Drosophila melanogaster: one gene and its partners. The protein of the gene in region 1 interacts with the protein of each later gene in a pairwise test. Each region holds a gene or a part of one and is shown in the gene's direction. Other genes may lie near its edges.

What was found.
Region 2: the proteins of CG1407 (region 1) and PDCD-5 interact in a two-hybrid assay, tested with the Drosophila melanogaster proteins (one large-scale study listed by BioGRID).
Region 3: the proteins of CG1407 (region 1) and mirr interact in a two-hybrid assay, tested with the Drosophila melanogaster proteins (one large-scale study listed by BioGRID).
Region 4: the proteins of CG1407 (region 1) and pdm3 interact in a two-hybrid assay, tested with the Drosophila melanogaster proteins (one large-scale study listed by BioGRID).

The regions. Positions count from the first base shown.
Region 1 is NT_033778.4:10,028,704-10,034,573, reverse strand, and holds CG1407 (uncharacterized protein), read left to right. Parts: upstream 1-1,680; 5' UTR 1,681-2,044; coding exon 2,045-2,180; intron 2,181-2,238; coding exon 2,239-2,360; intron 2,361-2,448; coding exon 2,449-2,555; intron 2,556-2,747; coding exon 2,748-2,994; coding exon of another isoform or gene 2,995-3,066; exon of another isoform or gene 3,067-3,127; coding exon 3,128-3,290; intron 3,291-3,359; coding exon 3,360-3,489; intron 3,490-3,905; exon of another isoform or gene 3,906-4,315; coding exon 4,316-4,769; 3' UTR 4,770-5,311; downstream 5,312-5,870. Other genes in the region: CG12129 (uncharacterized protein), read right to left, coding at 1-501, 553-817, 871-970, 1,023-1,173.
Region 2 is NT_037436.4:16,230,531-16,233,754, reverse strand, and holds PDCD-5 (programmed cell death 5), read left to right. Parts: upstream 1-1,716; 5' UTR 1,717-1,852; coding exon 1,853-1,915; intron 1,916-2,166; coding exon 2,167-2,281; intron 2,282-2,338; coding exon 2,339-2,562; 3' UTR 2,563-2,674; downstream 2,675-3,224. Other genes in the region: Hsc20 (heat shock protein cognate 20), read right to left, coding at 1-112, 173-285, 338-559; MED10 (mediator complex subunit 10), read right to left, coding at 1,096-1,375, 1,432-1,553; Tmx3 (Thioredoxin-related transmembrane protein 3), read right to left, coding at 2,984-3,224.
Region 3 is NT_037436.4:12,691,995-12,696,685, forward strand, and holds the start of mirr (mirror), read left to right. Parts: upstream 1-1,644; 5' UTR 1,645-2,317; coding exon 2,318-2,359; intron 2,360-4,505; coding exon 4,506-4,691.
Region 4 is NT_033778.4:8,325,832-8,330,520, forward strand, and holds the start of pdm3 (pou domain motif 3), read left to right. Parts: upstream 1-1,658; 5' UTR 1,659-2,176; intron 2,177-4,689.

The DNA.
Region 1 (5,870 bases):
GGAGCGCGAATTCAATACGCACAGATGTACAGCCTGGCACTGGGCTACTCCGAAATCGAAGTCTCCAAAGCGCTTGAGGATCTCGCGAGCGTCAAAGCTGTTACCAGATTTATTTGCCTTATTGCGGTAGCGGTTGTTCATCACCGTCATGTGCAGTTTAATGGATTCACGTTCAATATTGTCTGTAGCGCACAGTGCTGTAGTCTGAAAGTGGGCCAGACACTGATCCGCAAACTTTTGCAGATCCGGAGACTCGATGCGGGCATACAGAATGCGAGTGGAGCTTGGATCGTCGTTCATAATCTCCAGGCCCTTAACTTTAATTTGGAAAGGTATTTTAAGGCCATCCAGTAAACGACGACATGATTCCAGATTCTTCAGGGCTTCTTGGCGTTCAATGTCATCTAGCAGCACATAGACGCCTAAGGTAAGATGAATGCAGCACTCCGGAGTGAAAAGCTCCTTATCGATGCCTGGCAACTCGGCCTCCAAAATGCATTTCTAGGAAAATTGGAAATAAGTTTTTGCACAACTAGTTTTTTTAGCTAATACCTTTAGTTCCATAAAACGCTCCTTGACTTCTCCAGAGTTTAGAGCCACGGCCAAAAAGTGTGTCGGTTTCATTTTTTTTCGTAAAGAGGCTACAAGATGGTGGATTTGTCGCAGTGCAGCGCATACTTGACTGCGTTGCTTGGCCTTGATAGTCACTTCGTTTGACCTATCGTTCGGACGCGGAACAAAGATCTCTGTACGGGTCTCTTCCTCTATGCGGCGCTTCGTAGATCCTTTCATGCCAATTAGTCCACCGTAAAATGATCTGCAAGGATATGTGTCAGAGATATCGTCAGCGGTTCTTTGTATTCAACCCACTTGGACACATGAATGGAAAGACTAAAATCGCCATTTGCTGACTCCTTAATACATTTGACAACCGCATCGTCCTCGTCATCATCATCATCACCATAAAGATCTGGACAGAAGTGGTCAATGTGGATAATTAAAAATCTACAATATCCACTTACCCGGCTCTTCGTAGGCTTTGTACTCTAGTTTATTCCGTTGGTTTTGACCATTCCACTTGTCGCCACCGAAGTCGTCGTGAACAACGTTGACTCTATAGCGCCGATTCTGGCTCATCTTTTGGACAGGAGGTGATAACACTTCGCGGCTCATGGTGATCAAAAATATTTAGGACTCTTTTATAATTACGGCGATATCCAAAATCAAATGTACTTCATTAAATGATAGACAAGCCGGGAATGACTACTATGCACTTTGGTATATTAGGAAACACTTTAAAAAATACTAGACTTGAATAAGTAATAGTGATGGCAGCTACTTATTTAAGTATTAAAAACATTTATATGGGATGAAATATTTGTTCTTAATTTCATAACAAAATGTACACGTTATTTTATACCAAACATTATATAGAGTGGGTGTACGAGGAAATCTGTCTTGGATCATGTTAGATGTTTAAATAAATTAATTGTACCATAATAAAAATCTGAGACTAAATAATTATGAAGAATTATTATATTTATATCAGAAACATATCCAAAGTCAAGCAATTATATATTGAAAACTACGCAGAATACGATGATCCAAAATGTGTTACCAATTGAAATTCTTATAATCGATAGTATCGTGTCACGGCACCCACAACACACGAACCGCCCATCCCTAAACCAATTTGAGTTTCCCCAATTTGACAGCCAAAATTTAGTTGGTTTCATCTGAAAAAGCAAATTAACTGAGAAATACTACCGAAAATGTCGCAGCGATAAGGTGAAATAGGCACCTGTCCGCCCAAAAGGGGAAGCAAGCAGCGGATAGCGTCAAAAAGCGTTTGTTAACAGCTTGCGAAGTCAGTGAATCACTAAAAGATAAAGACATTGAATTGGCCAGTGGAGCGACCGCTGGAGGAGCACCCACAATTGCAGACCCATCGATCGCCCCTAATCCGCTCCAGCTCCAGGTGGAGGTGACACCAACGCCCCGAGACACACGCGCCCTTGCCGAAGTGGTGGCCCACATAAATAGAATGGGTAACGACGATCATCGACGGCGGAAGACACCCTGCGGATTTTGTATGGCAGTCTTCAAATGGATACCAGTGCTATTTATCACCGCGGTAATAGCTTGGTCCTATTACGCTTATGTGGTGGAGCTATGCATCCGTGAGTTGTATTTACAGTCATGTAGGGGGGGGATATAACCTGATGTTTCCTTTTTCAGGCAACTCGGAGAACCGCATTGGTATGATCTTCATGCTTCTGTTCTACCACCTCTTCCTCACCCTGTTCATGTGGTCGTACTGGCGCACCATAATGACCTCCGTAGGCCGAATACCAGATCAAGTGAGTGAATCATACACCTTATCAGCTCGTGTTATTAAAAGAAAACGGAAAAGCCTACAATATTCGATTGCTTTTCTCCCGTTTTTAGTGGAGGATACCGGATGAGGAAGTGTCGCGACTTTTCCGAGCCGACAGCCCGGACACCCAGAAACGCATTCTTAACAACTTTGCGCGCGATTTGCCAGTAACGAATCGGTAAGCGTTATGTTATGTTATATCTTGTCAGTTGATTTGTATTTGTATAACTTTATCAAACAAAACCATTTTATCTAAGAAATTAAAAGTTGTCCCAATTAAGACATTTCCAAATGCATTTCTCAGCAGCAGAACAATTAGGACGGCGCATTCCGAAGCATTTTTGATAATATTTAAACCTTTGCCTTGCAGCACAATGAATGGTTCGGTGCGGTTCTGCGAAAAGTGCAAGATCATCAAGCCAGACCGAGCTCACCACTGTAGTGTGTGCAGTTGCTGCGTACTGAAGATGGATCACCACTGCCCCTGGGTAAACAACTGCGTTAACTTTTACAACTACAAGTACTTCGTGTTGTTCCTGGGCTATGCTCTTGTCTACTGCCTGTATGTGGCTTTTACCTCGCTACACGACTTTGTCGAGTTCTGGAAGGTAGGTGCAGTAAGTTTCCGATTCGTTTCTACTCTTGCTACCACCCTAAATGCCCGCTGCATGCGAAGACCTGTTAGTTAATGAATGTATTCTCTCGTTTTGCTGTAATGTTATCTAAACTGCTTGTACTTACTGATCCAAGTACGATAATAATGGTTACTCGGCACAGGGACAGCTAAATGCCAGTGGAATGGGTCGTTTTCACATCTTGTTCCTGTTCTTCATTGCCATTATGTTTGCCATTAGTTTGGTGAGTTTATTTGGCTACCACATCTACCTTGTGCTGGTGAATCGCACGACATTGGGTAAGTACCTAAAGCCTGACTTATAAATCACATGCATACCATAGCCTCTTTAATCTATCTTCCATTCAGAGTCGTTCAGGGCTCCGATCTTCCGCGTTGGCGGCCCCGATAAGAATGGTTATAACTTGGGGCGTTATGCCAATTTCTGCGAAGTATTTGGTGACGACTGGCAATACTGGTTCCTGCCCGTGTTTTCGAGGTATTTGACGATTCATTTACTACACCATTTCTACTAGTTCCACCAGAAGCTCTCTCACTCATTAGTTGTTGTTCTTGCGCACTTTTATTTAATTAGATTTGATCTAATGGCTATTTGATTTTGGTTTTTATGTTGATTTCGGCAAATTAAAGGCATGTTCCAAAATTAAAGCTTTGTAGCTAAAACCTTTAATATCCTTCAATGTGTGTTTGGTGTGCTAAGTTATTAAGAAAAACAAACGACTATTGAAGATCACAGATTTTAGATTAACTTAAAGCAATTTCTAACACGTATAATTTATGTAAACCCATAATAACTGTGTATGCTGAAAAATGAGACCGAAAAGCAATGAATCAATGTGGTCGATCTCCTTTTGTAATTTAGTTTTAAGCCAAATTCAAATTATCACTTTATTTCAATTGTGTTCGTTATTTATTTTTGTAAATAAAAAGAGACAAATTTTGCCAGCGATTTTTAGAAATAGACACTTAGATCTAACCAAAACAAGCTTAGTAACCAATTGTCCGCCCCGTAAAGTGACTAACTTAAAGTGTCCAAGTTTGAAATTCTGACGGAACTTTCTGAATTTTAAATGCTCATTAAGTTTCTTTAAAACCAAAACACTTGCCACACATGAAAAGTCGATTAAATTTTTACATTCGTATTCACACATCTGTGCAAAATTATATAACAAAAAAACCTCAAACAACAACAGCTACAACTACAATAAGCTAAACTGTAAAAAAACAAAAACAATATTTATGTTTACAACTCTCTGTTTAACGCAATACCCCAACCTTCTGCTTATTCATAATCACGGAACTAGTCGCGGTGATGGCTACAGCTATCCGACCTCCAGCGACCAGAGTCGAGTGTCCACCAGCTCTCCCACCCAGCGGTACGATGCCATGGGAGATACGACCACCAGCAGGTTAGATGGCAATCCAACAGATAAGTTGATTGGCGCTAGTCCCCTCGACACCACTAACCATCATCACAACCAATCGCCTCATCAAGTAAGAAGCACCAGCGTCCTGCCAACCCAGCTGTTGCAGATCCAGCCGCCATCTACATGCCGGGACGAGCTCAACGAGCGGCAGCAAAAGCTGGCAAACGGCCAATCATTAGACTGCAGCACGCCAGCAGCCATGTCTAGCCCGGACGAGCGTGGAGTCAATGGGGCAGCCGTATACATCGAAATGATTGGAGATCATCCGTTGACAAGCGCTGATCCTGCCAAAGGCTTCCCACGCCCGCCGAATGGCGATCTGCCAGTTTAAATAATAACGTAGAATGTATTATGTGTATGTTTTTGTACCATAGAGCCAAGTAAACTGCCAGATTTGTCAGCGTTGCGGTTCTTAGTAAGCAAATAAGTTACCTCTATGCAATTCATCAGCTGTTTAGTGTAGGCTATTTAAATGTTTAAATGGCTGGGACCATAATATAAATCACCACATATGTATAATCGACTAAGTTAACATTAGGCAATATGTCATTGGTTTCACACACGCATTTATCGAATTTTTTAATGGAAATTAGAAGAATCGAATGTGGAATTTCCTAGTAGATGAGATGGTGTTATCCTCCGAAGATTTGTACCTTGCTAATGCATTCATGAAACCAACTATCCTTGTAGATATCGAAAGATCTTCAAGACTTAAACCTAATGATAAGCAATGAGATTTCAGTACACACTATTAACACACACGGAATTCAGTAATTTCCATATGGTTTTAATTTATGTAGTTAGTAACTGTTTGCAAGTTTTTATACTTTTTCTTACTTTGTACACCTTAATGCCCAAATACATATATTATTGAACTTCTGCAAGTGACGAAATTAAATGGATTTTAAAGTATTTAAAACTTATAAAGGTTTGTTTTTAGTTTGCCAAATAAATAAACATGACAGCTTTGCTTCATCTGCACAGCACCGAATCTTCAATCAATCCATTACATACACAATAACGCACTCATTACTTATCAATTTCCCACTGATGATATAATTCACCACATATCCTTTAGCTTTGGCGATGGCAAAACATTTCCGATTCGACATATGGAAGAGGACACGGAATCTTTGCTAGGATATCACAGCGATACGCGCATCGAGTTGGAGGAGGACTTTCTGCCAGAGCCGCGATTTCAAGACTCGATTCCATAGCTAATCATGACCAGCGACAATGTAGCTACATATTACATTTAGAGATTCAGTTGTGAAGCCTCCTTACGACATACATATACTTTCAGTGTGTAAATAACAGAGGTACAGACAGTCCATCCTATAGGGACAACTAGGTTATTATGTTTAAGTTACGAATGAGTCGATAGACAATTGTAATGTATATGTATGTAAGTGATAATGCGAAAAATGTTAGG
Region 2 (3,224 bases), on another chromosome or scaffold:
GCCCTCCAGTTGAAGAAGGTACTGACCACGATCTATGGGCGTGGAAAGCGTTTTATATGCCTTGTTGATGAGGGAACTCCAGTCTGAGGAGTTTGTTTGCTCCCGTGAGGTTCTGTAAACAAGGGGATTTTATCGTTGCCTTCCTGATTTTATCACTTATGACTATACCCACTTATTACTATATTTATCGGGATGCACAATGGTCTGCAACTGGCGAAAACTTCTTGTCAACTTCTGGGACTCCAAAGAAAATTGAATGGGAAAGCTGAGCAGTTTAAAGTAATTCTACAGAAACTAAAAGTTAAATTAGCCAAATAAAATGTAGATAAGTACTAACTATTCCTGAGTTAACATCCTGCAAGTGTCCACAGTCCGAACATATCATATTCTGCTTTAATTCCGATTTCTTTTGGCAATTCCAACAAGCCGGCGAAGATTCAACTGAAAATTTCCGTATTTCTGGCAACTGGAATTGATTAAATTGTGCTGCATTTCTAACAAGCGGTGTATAATTTGTAGCTTTTACAGCACTTTTAAAGCCATTAATAACTCTACTCATTTTCTACAATAAATTTAACTGAATGATATACACAATCGAAGCCTTTAATTACACAAGCTGATAATAACAAAAAACAGCTGATATGAAACTAAGGTGGCAACGCTACTGCTTTGCGACTATCGAGCTTAAAACTTTTTAAACTATTTCATTTAACTATTAAATATTGACATTTATGACGTTTAAATAGTCATTGGTCTATTTAAAATGTAAGACCTTAAAAATTGTTAATTGAAATTAAGTAATTAAATATAGTATAACTTATTCATAGAAACAATTCAATTTAATAAAGTTCAAATAGGATAGAGGTTCAATATAAGCAAAAAGAAAAGGAAGGTAAAAATATACAAATTAATGTCTTTAATAAGTAACATTTTATATATATACATAAGAAAATATCAGACAAAGAGCAGGAAAGTATACCAACATATAGTCTTAATGGATAGTGAAACACAGAGTTTTATGTACAGAAGTATAAATTTATTCCAACATGTGGCTTACAATCTAAAGTTCAGGTCGCGTGTCCTTCGAGCACGTCCTTACATGGAGTCCTTGCGATAAGCGCGGTAGTTGTTCATCTCATTGGGAAATGTTTTATACAGCTCCAGCAGCAGATTCGTTTTGAACTTCTTCAGGCCCTCGATCTTGCCCTTGACCTCCTCGTTCTTGGCCAGTGCCTTCTCCACGCAATCCTTGGTGTACAGCTGAGGATTCTTGTCTTGGTCGATGTAGTCAAAAAACACTTCAAATGGCACATAGACGTCCTGCACCTGGGAGCGCAGCTTGTCGATCTCTTGTAGGCCGGTCACCAAGCTGTTACTAATGGTGCACATATTTATAGACATTTGATCAAATAAATTTTAGCATTTTCTTACATTTTCTGGTTGAGTACATTTTGACCCTGTGGCTGAAAATCGCTTACGATTATGCGGATCTGACGAACATTCTCGATGAACATCTCTAGCTGGGTCTCAAGGTTCTCTAGCGGTGCAGACATTTTTAACGATTCAAATTCGTTCCTTATTTTGTGGGTATTTCGTTAATATGTTTGTTTTCCTTGGCAAATATTTTATTTTTCTTCGCAACTCTTCTTCTTCTAGAAAACACCGAATGACCAGGGCTACTCAAACGCAATTTTGAGCATTCGGATTTACGAATAAGCAAGGAATAGCAAGGTCACACTGTTCAATCGCACACTTTTTTTGCTACAAAGAGCGTGATTTATTTTTATAGAAGCAAAAAAAGCAATAATTACTTAATTTACTGCCATAAATATACTGAGAATAAGAACCCAGAATGTCGGATAGTGATTTGGATGCCTTACGCGCGCAGCGCATGTCCCAAATGCAGTCGCAATTCGTAAGTGAAATATTTGAGTGGCTCCAAACCGGCTAGATTCCTCTAGAGAATTCCAAAAATAGTCATAACTTGGAATGAAAGCAAATTAGACTATATAAAATATAATAAAAATGTTAAGAATACATTAGCAATGGTATGCTTTGTTAGTTCTTATAGACACCTTCCCTATGAGTCATCCTTCTCGACTGGGACACCTGTTTCTTTAAAGGGCAATCCTTCAATGACCTTAACTCCTTTTTTCCTATTTTTAGGGCGGCGGCAATGATGCGGAAAAGCAACAAGCCCAGCAGGAGCAGATGCGCGCCCAGGAGGAAATGAAGCACTCGATATTATCCCAAGTTCTGGACCAGCAGGCCAGGGCACGACGTATGTGGATCTAGACCTTGAATATCTCTAGCTAATAACTTATAAAATATCATTTAGTTAATACCCTCAAAGTCAGCAAGCCGGAGAAGGCGCAAATGTTCGAGAACATGGTCATCCGCATGGCCCAGATGGGTCAGGTGCGTGGAAAACTTGATGACGCCCAGTTCGTCAGCATCCTCGAAAGCGTCAATGCTCAGATGCCGCAGAGCAAGTCCTCCGTGAAATACGATCGGCGGCGGGCGGCCATCGATAGCGACGACGACGAGGATTACGGCTGCTGATTCGTCCGAAATTCCGCCCAACATCTAATTTAAGTTATGCCCGCTCCTCACATCCGCTAAATCATGTTTATTACTTTTACTAACTTAAAACGAGAAACAAAACTAGATGCCCAAATACGTATGGACTTCTTTGTGTCAGATGGCGAATCTTAAAGCGTATTGGAAGTTCGTGCCAAGCGGCAATGACATACACTGACATAGGACTAGATTTGGCTTACATTTATATGCGGTAGAAAAGTGGTCTAGAGGAGGGGTGGGGTCTTCTACGACTTCTTATAGGGATTTATCATTTCATATTCTTGTATGTTCCTAGCTTTTTATGATCTTGCTCGGAAATGCACTATGAGATCATCTTATTTACTTTCTCTAACATTCACTCGCAATCAAAAGCTTTCACTAGATTCATTTTTAAGTTATCCCTTTACTCCTTCTTCTCGTGATCTTCATCGGGATCTTCTTCTGTGACCAAGCAATCGCCGCAGAAAATAGAGTACATGATGAGCGATAAGAATCCCAATGGCAGGCCGAAGATGACAGTGGTCAGCACGGGATTTCCCAGCCACATATCCCTTAATGCTCTTCGCACTTCGAACAGTGCCCGATTCAAACGTACAAAGTACGTATCTCCTCCATAGGCAATGGCACTTTCGTTGCGGATGGAT
Region 3 (4,691 bases), on another chromosome or scaffold:
TAGCTTTCAAATGTGCTCAGCACTCAGATACATATGTAGCACATAGACGCCATCCCGCTCTAGCAGCTGCCGTCACTCCTCTCGAGTGGCGTTTCAATTAATTAGAAAAAGTTAAAGAAACGCCACGGCAAAAACGAGAAGCGAAGTACGAAAATACAAAAAACAAAAAACAAAAAACAAATACCTACATAATAAAATGTAAGAGCGTATGTTGTAGCAGCAAAAGCAGCGACGGCAGCTGCGGTGGCGATTTTTGTTCTTCTCGTTTTTTCTTCTGATTTTTTTTTTTTCTTTTTTTGTTGGAGCAGCGCGAAAGATGCCACCAATCCAGCCAAAGAGCCAAAGCGGTCAAGAGGGGCGGTGCAGGGGGTTGGTTGCCAAAGGGATGGGGTAATGGGGGAGGAGGGGGTTTCTGGAGGGGAACGGCCGTAGCAGCGACTGCGGCAGAGGCGGATGATAAAACATTACCCATCGCGTTTGGCCCAACCTCTTCACGAGTCTCGTCGTTCATGTTCATCAGGCTTTTCTTTTTTCATCAACGGCGAAAAGCGAGAAGCGAGCGTAAACACTTTGCTTTCATACGTCGCGACATTCGTCTTGTTGTTGTTGTTGTTGTTGCGTTGTTTATGGCAACAACTACACGTAGCAACACCCACGGCAGCAGCAGCAGCAGCAACAGCAACTGCGGCAGCAGCAGCAAGTAGCAGCGTTGCAACAGCAACAGCAGCAGCAACAACAGCAGCAACATCATCGCCGACAACAACAGCAACAACATCGCCTACAAATACATACATCGGCATTTACAACAACACGCAATAACAGCCATTTTTCTAGTTGTTAAGTTAATTTTTTCATGTTCTGCCGCTCTCGGTGTTGCTGCTGCTGCTGCTGCTTCTTGTCGCCGCTGCTGCTGCTGCTGCTGCTATGCCATCTCGCTCGCACGCCAGCAAGACGACAGCCAACGCGAGCAAGTTGCGATACTACCGCTGTCGCTGCCGCTTGGTTGCGATTCGTGGCCAACGGCGCAGCGGCTATAGCCATCCCGCTCTCGCCCGGCCGCAGCTGGCAGATACTTTATTTATGGTCACACAGGCGGTAGATACTTTTTTTGTTGCCCCCACCCCTCCACCTAACCAACTGGTTTGCTGCGTCTCGCTCGCACTTGCAGCGAGATTGGTGGCTACGTTTCGGTAGGGGGTTGAGGGGTATCTACCGTAGCATACCGATTCCGATGCCGATTCCAATCCCAATCCCCTGAGTGCCACACACAGCCGGAGCGCCAGCCCACTTATAATGATAATCATTATTGCCGTTGTTGCCGTTCGTGTTGTCGTCGTGCCGCCTCGTTTGCTACTTTTTCCAGCGCACACAGATACTTTTCGCACGCACACCAGCGCACAGATACTTGGCCGCTCTCAAAAAGAGCAAAGAGAGCGCACGCACACCAGCGAAGGTGCGAGTAAAAATTAAGGGGAGAAACCCGTTTGTGCGCTCTCTCGCTCACACATACAAACGCGGCGCGGGCTATGTATCGATGTGGTGGTGCGTGGGCCTGTTCTTGTTGTTGCGCTGCGCTGTTTTTCGATTGTCGGTTGTCGTGTAATTCCCATTTGTCGTACACTTTGTAGTTGCTCAAGAAACTCATGTTAGTCTACTTTTGACTGTTACGCAGATTGTTCGTATCGTTCGTGTCCGCCGCAGTGCCAGTGCCGCAGTGTGAATAATAGTGCTCTCTGCCCGCCGCTCGCCGTCGTTCTGCGAGCTGGATTCAAATTCAGTACCCAGATTCAGAAACAGAATCAGATTCACACCCAGATACTACTATTTGCTGCCGCCGCCTCTGGTTCATTCGTGCTTCGTTTTCGCATCCTCCGGATAGAGCTGCTCCTCCCGAATACCGATTCTACCAATTCTACAAATTTAAACGACTCACATAAACGATTCCCGTCGAGCCGCCCGTCGGATTTTACGGATTTACGGTGCCCAGTAGCGCCTGTGTTGGCCAGCTAACTCGAGTTGGCCAGCTCCTTGCAGCCGTCGGCAAGTGCAACGCAGTGCAACGAAACGAATAACAAAAAAAAATAAACACAGCCCAAAGAAAGTAAACACTGAAATAGCTCGCAAGCCGGATCCAAAATCAACATAAAAACTAGTTCGGATCAATCACAAGATCACAGATCGCACAATCACAATCACTTCACTCGGATTATAAATCTATCTAAATACACATACGTCGGTTCAGTGCGCGAGTCCATCGGTGCATCGTAACTCTAAGATTTGCTTTATAGTTTTAGTTAAAAGCAAAAATTAATATTAAATGACAGTGCACAGTAATGAAACCGGTATCTGTTTAGTAATGGTGCGTATATCAATTTGTTTTTTTTCCCCCATTTTTTATTACTTGTAAGATGGTTCAGTTAATCGCTGCATTTTAGCTTGTCTGGCATTTGGATAGTGGCAATTAGATTGAAAACCCGTTCAGCTACGAGGCAAATCAGTGCAACACATGTAGATAAAAGCAGAAACAGTGGGATTACTCTGGGTTCGAATACCTTAGCATTTTGATTTGGCAAACGGAAGACATGGATTTAAAAATAAAACAGATTGAAAATGTCAGGACCACAAGTGTGCTACATTGGGCGAACAACACGCGAAAAACCGTCTGCCAATTCGGAAAATCTCTCTTATGCATCAATGTCTCTTTGGTTGTTAACCAAGCTGGCAAGGTCACCGCACATCGTGCTCAGTCACACTTGAGTGTCCAATAGGATTTTAGCCATAATAATCCCTCAGTGGTAACACGATCCCCAGTTAATATGGTATCCCTGTTCCAAAAATTTAATCGCTTGCACTCGACACTCGAGCATATTCATATATTTTCATATATGTATGTAAAAGCAACTTGTGGCGCAAAGTCGAAAGCTGAAACGGAATATCGGAAATATTAAATGCTCTTTAAACAAACATGAATGGCTGTCACTCTACCCTCGCCATCATAATGGCTACCCGAAAATAATTTACTTTAGCCGCAAAACGACCACTTCGAGTTGAGATATTTGTTGTGTTATAGTTATAGCCTGTAGCCATAGATAGTCGATAATCATCGGCGGTTGATTCAAAGAGCCGCATTGATAAGAAATCGTACGAGTGTATTGTGGATCCATCCAGCCATCCGGCAAACACCGGGAATTAATTTTTAATCGCATAGGGCCACTTGAGTTGTCACTTGATGAAAGCACGAGACGCAACACCGAACCGAATCCCAACTGCAACAGCAACATCAGCGACAACATTGTGGCGGTATCAATCACGACCGATGATACAACATGCAGCACTGTGACCGCCGGCCTGCGATAAAAATCGTATCTTACGCCTCGGATCATTTGTAAAATGTTAAACGGGAAGAGCGGCTCCAAGCCCCGAAGCCCCGAAGCCCCGGAGCCCCTGGAGCCCCAAAGCCCACAGCCCCAAGCCTCAAGAAGTGGAGAAGTTAACCAAGGAGGCAGCGATAAACAAACCTGAAACTTGTTTTCCTTACCCCATGTCGCATGTGTGCGAATGTGTACGTTGCTCTTGTCCACTGAAGTTGTTGCAGTTGTTGCTCTTGCAGTTGTTTCAGTTGACTAAAAGTGTTGACAAAAGTGCGCGATAGGCTTATGTGCACACACAAACACACTATATACCATGCTATACCATACCATACCATACCATATAGAGGATCGATCCAGGCAGTCATTGGACAACTTACAATCAAATTGCTCTTAGGACGTTGTTGCAGCTTGTCGTTGTTGTTGCTGTTGCCGCTGTCGTCGTTGGCAGCAATCGGCTGTGTAATTTAAATCAATGTTGTCAATCGAAAACATGATTTGTTGGTAATGGCGGCCCCACTTTGAAGATCGCCGGATCGCAGGGGAAAGGGGTTTTCGGGAGTGGAGAGAGGAGAGAGCACAGTTTGTAGGGGGGGAAGAATCCATCGGTTGGGATCCCAGTTTTGTGGTTCTGAGGCTCTGCAGTTCTGAAGGGCCCGTGGACAGCCCACAACCCATCCCACTGAAGAGACGCTCTTATCGCACTGATAAGGGGCTACGTTTTTAATTAAGTTTTAGTGCCAGCTGGTAGCGCGGTACAGTAGACCGTCTATTGGGGCTTTTTATCCAGCGCAAGAAGCAGCGCCTTAATGGCCGCCATAAACTCGAGAAACGAATTGGAAAAGATCAAAGTCGGATAATCAATTTACTGAAATTAACTTCAAAGATGAAGAACATTTTTCTAAAAAAGTTTCGTTTTAGAAAGAGGCCTTAAAACATTTTATTATAAGCTATCAAGGGATTAGTAGTGCAGTACTTAAATTTATAAATTTTATTTATTATTTTATTTCAAATTTGTTTACTTATTGTACAACATATTGTTCATAATCAACTTGGACAGCTATTTTTAGTACCAAACGCTTGTTAGCTCCGTTAAGCAAATGCACTCAACGTTGTTGTCTTCCACTTAACTTGCAGAATGCCGTTTCAACTCACCTTGCCACCTCGTCGCCCAACACGCCTCCAACCAACGCTCCGCAGAGTCCGCCCTCGACGCTGCCCACGCTCGCCTGTCCCGCCGCCCAGCCGCTGAGTGCACCGGGAATCGCCGGGCCAGGACACAGTGGCATGGTGACCTCGACGGTGCCGCCGGGCGCTCGCTCC
Region 4 (4,689 bases), 1.7 Mb from region 1:
ATATATGTACACGTAATTATTACAGTGTATTATATGGAGAATAAAAGGTATAGTAACCTACGTGCAATCAATAATATCAGTAGTATCCAATTTATAAATTAATAAAATAAAAATAAAATATATTAGTTACTAATTTAACTAATGTGAAAATTTAAAATTTAATTTTATGAAATTAATGTTTTTGTAATTTGGATCTAATTATCACGTTCTTTTTATGTTACCCAAAGTGAGAACCGCCTTTCTTATAAATTGAATTGAAATTTGGTAAAGTTTTTGCCAGTGGAGATGAAAGAGTGCCGAAGAAGGAGCAGAAGACGTGGCAGAGAGGGATGGCAGAGAATTGGGTGGAAGAGTGGGAGGAAGAGTGGGCAGAACAAGGCAAAACGTTTCCATATTTATTGGCACTTTTCGGTTTTCTGGAAGCGGTTCGAGCCGTTGCAAAAGGGGCGGAGGGGTGTGGTTCACTAGACCCGGCACACGTCACATTGTGGGTGGGTGGGAGTTGGAGGACGGTGGACGGAGGGCTGGAGTGGTAGCAAGAGGGTTCTGGGCTTCGAGTGGGGTTTTGACCGACGAGCTGAGTGACTGGAGCTTTTGGCATTGGCTCTGCTCTGCGGATCGAGACCTAAATTATTAATTCCCAGCAATAGTTGTCGAGGGGTCGAGCTGGGGTGAAATTTCGGGGCATTTGACAAGTCGTCTTGTGATGCATATCACAGGTTTGGTTTATCCAACAATTTCCTCTGAAGCTTAAAATAAATTCTAAGTTGTTGTGTGTTGAGAGAGGTTGTGGCATTTATTAAGAAAATCATAATTAAGTTTCTAAATTGGTACGATAAAATGAAAAATAAAAATAAATTTTATTGATTTTTAAATTGCGGTGACTTCCTACTTTTCCATTATAATTAAGCATTGTTAATTTGTACAAGTGGATTTAAAATTATGTCAAACAGTTTAAAGATTTTGAATATTATTTTGCAAATCTCCAAAGATATGTATGTAGAATCTAAATGCGCTCCCACCGTTCGGTGTAAAAAGTGCAATGTTTAGCTGTAATAAATGCTCAAAATGCGCTCACAAAAGCGCTCACCCACACTCGCGCCCTCTCCCTCGCGCGACCGCTCTCCTTCTCTTTCTATCTCTGCCTCGCCGTCGTTAAGTGCTCGCCTTTCGTCAAGTGTGCAACTTCTCCTTCTCAGAACAACAGTTATAAGCTCAGTCTGCGCCGGCAGCGCTGTCGACGTCGACTGCAGCAGCAGCGCCGCTCATTTGTGCGCTTAATGACGTCATTATTTTTATTTTAACAGTGCCAAGCAAATTGCATATATACCGTTGCTGCTCCTGCGCAGTCGGCGCTCTGCCGGCGTCGCTGCACCGCCAGTGGGGCTTGGGCTAGGGGGTGGGCGAGAGAGCGACAGAGAGAGAGCCAGAGCGAGAGAGAACGAGAGGCAGTGAGTGAGAGAGACCCCGGTCGCTTTCTCGCTCGCACCCGCTGAGCTGGGCCTGCGGCTTCGGGTTCCTCGCCTTCGTTTTGTTTGCTCGTGTTTGCCGATGTTGTTGCTGCTGTTGTTGCTGCTGCTCCTTTGCTGTTGCTACTTATGCTGATGATTGCGATTGCTGGGGGTCCAAAGCGCCGCTCGTGCGCCACACGTTCATTCAGTCGACGGACGACGCTGCGCCTGAACGTACGACGGCTGATCTGAACCGGAATCGCATTGAACGGCCACATATATCTTGGACGCCCCTCGACTCGTGCAACAAACAAACAACCAAAGTGCAACATACAATACCCAAGCAAATAAACTTCGGCGTGTGCCCACGATTCATCTTTAACAGCTGCCACTGCAACTTTTGAGCCCCATGTGTTTTGTACAGCCGTTGCTCCGCGATTTTTGAATCCGTTTCGAAACTACTCAGTTCCGAATTTTTGGCGCGTTGCGATCGTCTCATCTGAAGTGCGTGGGTGATAACCATCTGTCAGATACTCGTTGCTACACTCATAGGTACTCATGAATACTTTGAATACAGTGCTCAATTGTGATAAGAGTTAAGAAATTACACATCAAAACCAAACGACCATTAAAAGGTGAATGAAAAACAGGATTCAGGAAAAGCTAGTGGAACATAAAAACTCTTTCGTTGATTTTGGCAACAGCTTGCGAATCTGTAAATAACGGTAAATATCTCAAAGTACTTGATTTAAGCTCTTGTGAATTTATATTATATGTTTTGAAGAAGTATATCATGCAATTGACTATCATCAGTTTAAAATCTTTTATGGGAACCAAATTTTAGAGGTATTAAAGTAATTATAAATGGTCTTCCCAATAGTCTGAAACAGTTTTTTTCACATATATATATATTCACATGTATATAATTGATTTACTAAAATTAATTGTAATATCATAATAAAAGTAATTTTAAAACTTTTATATATATTTCTGATTTGATAAAATTTCCATACGCCAAATTTTTACGTGTGTCAGTGGTTGGACATTTTAGCGGATGAATTTCGGAAATATTTAAATAAATCTCAAAATTTCCGGCTTATTACAAAGCTTAAAAAATCTGCATGGCTGAACGTTATGGCAGCTACTCAACCCAAAATGGTAAGCTAAATAATGGGGCTGCAATAAAAAAAGACATTTAAGTGAAGTGCTCATCATCATTATCAAGTTAGAAATATCAAACCTTTTTAGCCTCTCACGCACTCCACTCACTCGAATATTGCTCGAAACAGCCAAATGCAGTTTTTATGTAAATCTCAACCCTGACATGGTAGTATGCAAAAACCAATAAATTGATGCGATTTCGCTGCAGGCGGTTAATAACTTTAATTAACGTTAATTTTATCAACATCAGCATTATCGTTGGACCGGCATGAGCATGGGGGCATGTGCATGAGCAAACTTGGCGAGGGTCTCAAAAATAGTTGCGACGTTCTAATAATAAAACCAAATATAATAAATAGCCACAAACAAACTAATAATACGGCTCGACGGCAGTGGACAGTGGCAATTTGCAACAATGAGGCTCATCAAACGATCGCTAAAACGAAATCAGAATGAAACTCTACACATAAATAGTTTAATGTGCTGAGCCTTGCGACTGCTGCCACCCCACGAAAAATTACTAAAACGTATTACAATTGACTTGCCGGTGGCTCAGTGTCATTTTTGCAAAAAATAATCTAAACGTATCTATGAGATACAATAAACAGCAGCAGCGGCGCACAATTCGCACTAACAACAGCGCCAGCGGGCGTAACAACAATTGTAATAATCAGTTTCATTTCAAAGCCGCACCAACCTGCGCTACATTTTTCCCACTGTCCAAGCTCTGCTTGGATTCCCCTCCCCTCAGCTCCACTTTGGATCCCTGCTGCCGCCGCCGTTTCCACCGATTCAACCGATCCCAGCGATCCCGCAGATCCCACCGCCCTTCCCTCATCGGCATCCGAGTAGAAAACGTATCTATGCAGTGCATTGTTAGCGTGGCCCGCTCATTTAATTAAATATAATTAGCTGCATTAATTGCAAATTAATACAGAATTTAGCCTCTTTGTTGCCTGCTCCATTGTCGTTGCCAAGCAGAGTTAGCTATTGCCATTGCCCTGCTCCCAACTACACATTACACACGCCTCGTTATCGTTGGCAATTATTTAGCGAGAATTAACTGGGCTCGCAGTTGCACTGGCCCCCACAGATGCATTGGCCAAACTCTGGAATGACATTCAGCGGGTGCATACTGTGGCCCAATGAGCTGGTATTTATCTTTAAGGTTTCCACGTACTTGAGCGCAGGTTTCAATGCACAAATTACATTAGATATCTTCACGCATGATTTTGAAGATCTTGTAAAGTTCATATCATACATTTTTCCATTATGCACTGTATTGTTTGTTGAAATTTGGTTTATTAAGTAACTTATGTTACATAAATTGATAGCTTCAAATCCCTATCGAATTATGCAACAACCAACTCTGACTTTTATAATAAAGTAAAGTACTGTTGCAGTTAAATGGTTTCTATAAACATTTCGGTTCTTTAATTATAAACAAATCTTCAAGTATTAAAGCTAAGACCAGTGTTTAGAAATCGTGATATCTATGAGTTAAATGCAAGTGCTCAGAAAAAGCCGTCGGCATTTTATAGGCTGCGATCCGACAAATGCCTTTGATTCCACTTCAAATTGTAATCTTCTACTTACGATGAATGTTAGTTACTTAATATTTACGATTTCGGCTTCCTTTGATTGCGAAAGTGAAATATCTCATTAAATTGACTGAAGGATTTTTACTATTCGAAGTGGCAGTCTCGGCAAATTAGAAAAACCCATTAGTGGCCAAATGCATCGCGACAGCTTTTAATGCACATATAGCTGTGAAAAAGAAAATCAACGACGACGGAAAATGATTAGATATTAAATTAAAAATTAAATGTTGCTGCAGTGGATGTTTCTTTTTTATGACAAACGGATGACGAACGCATAAAAATGCAGCGGCACCAGAAGCGGGAAAACAACAAACCGACTGCGGACAAATCAACAAGGAGGCGACCACCACACACCACACACACTCATTAAAAACAACCAAAAGCCAGCGGAGAATTGCAATTTCCCCCGTAACCCCGCAAACAAAAAAAAAAAAACAAAAACTAGAAAAGATACACATATCCAACCATCGCGTCAC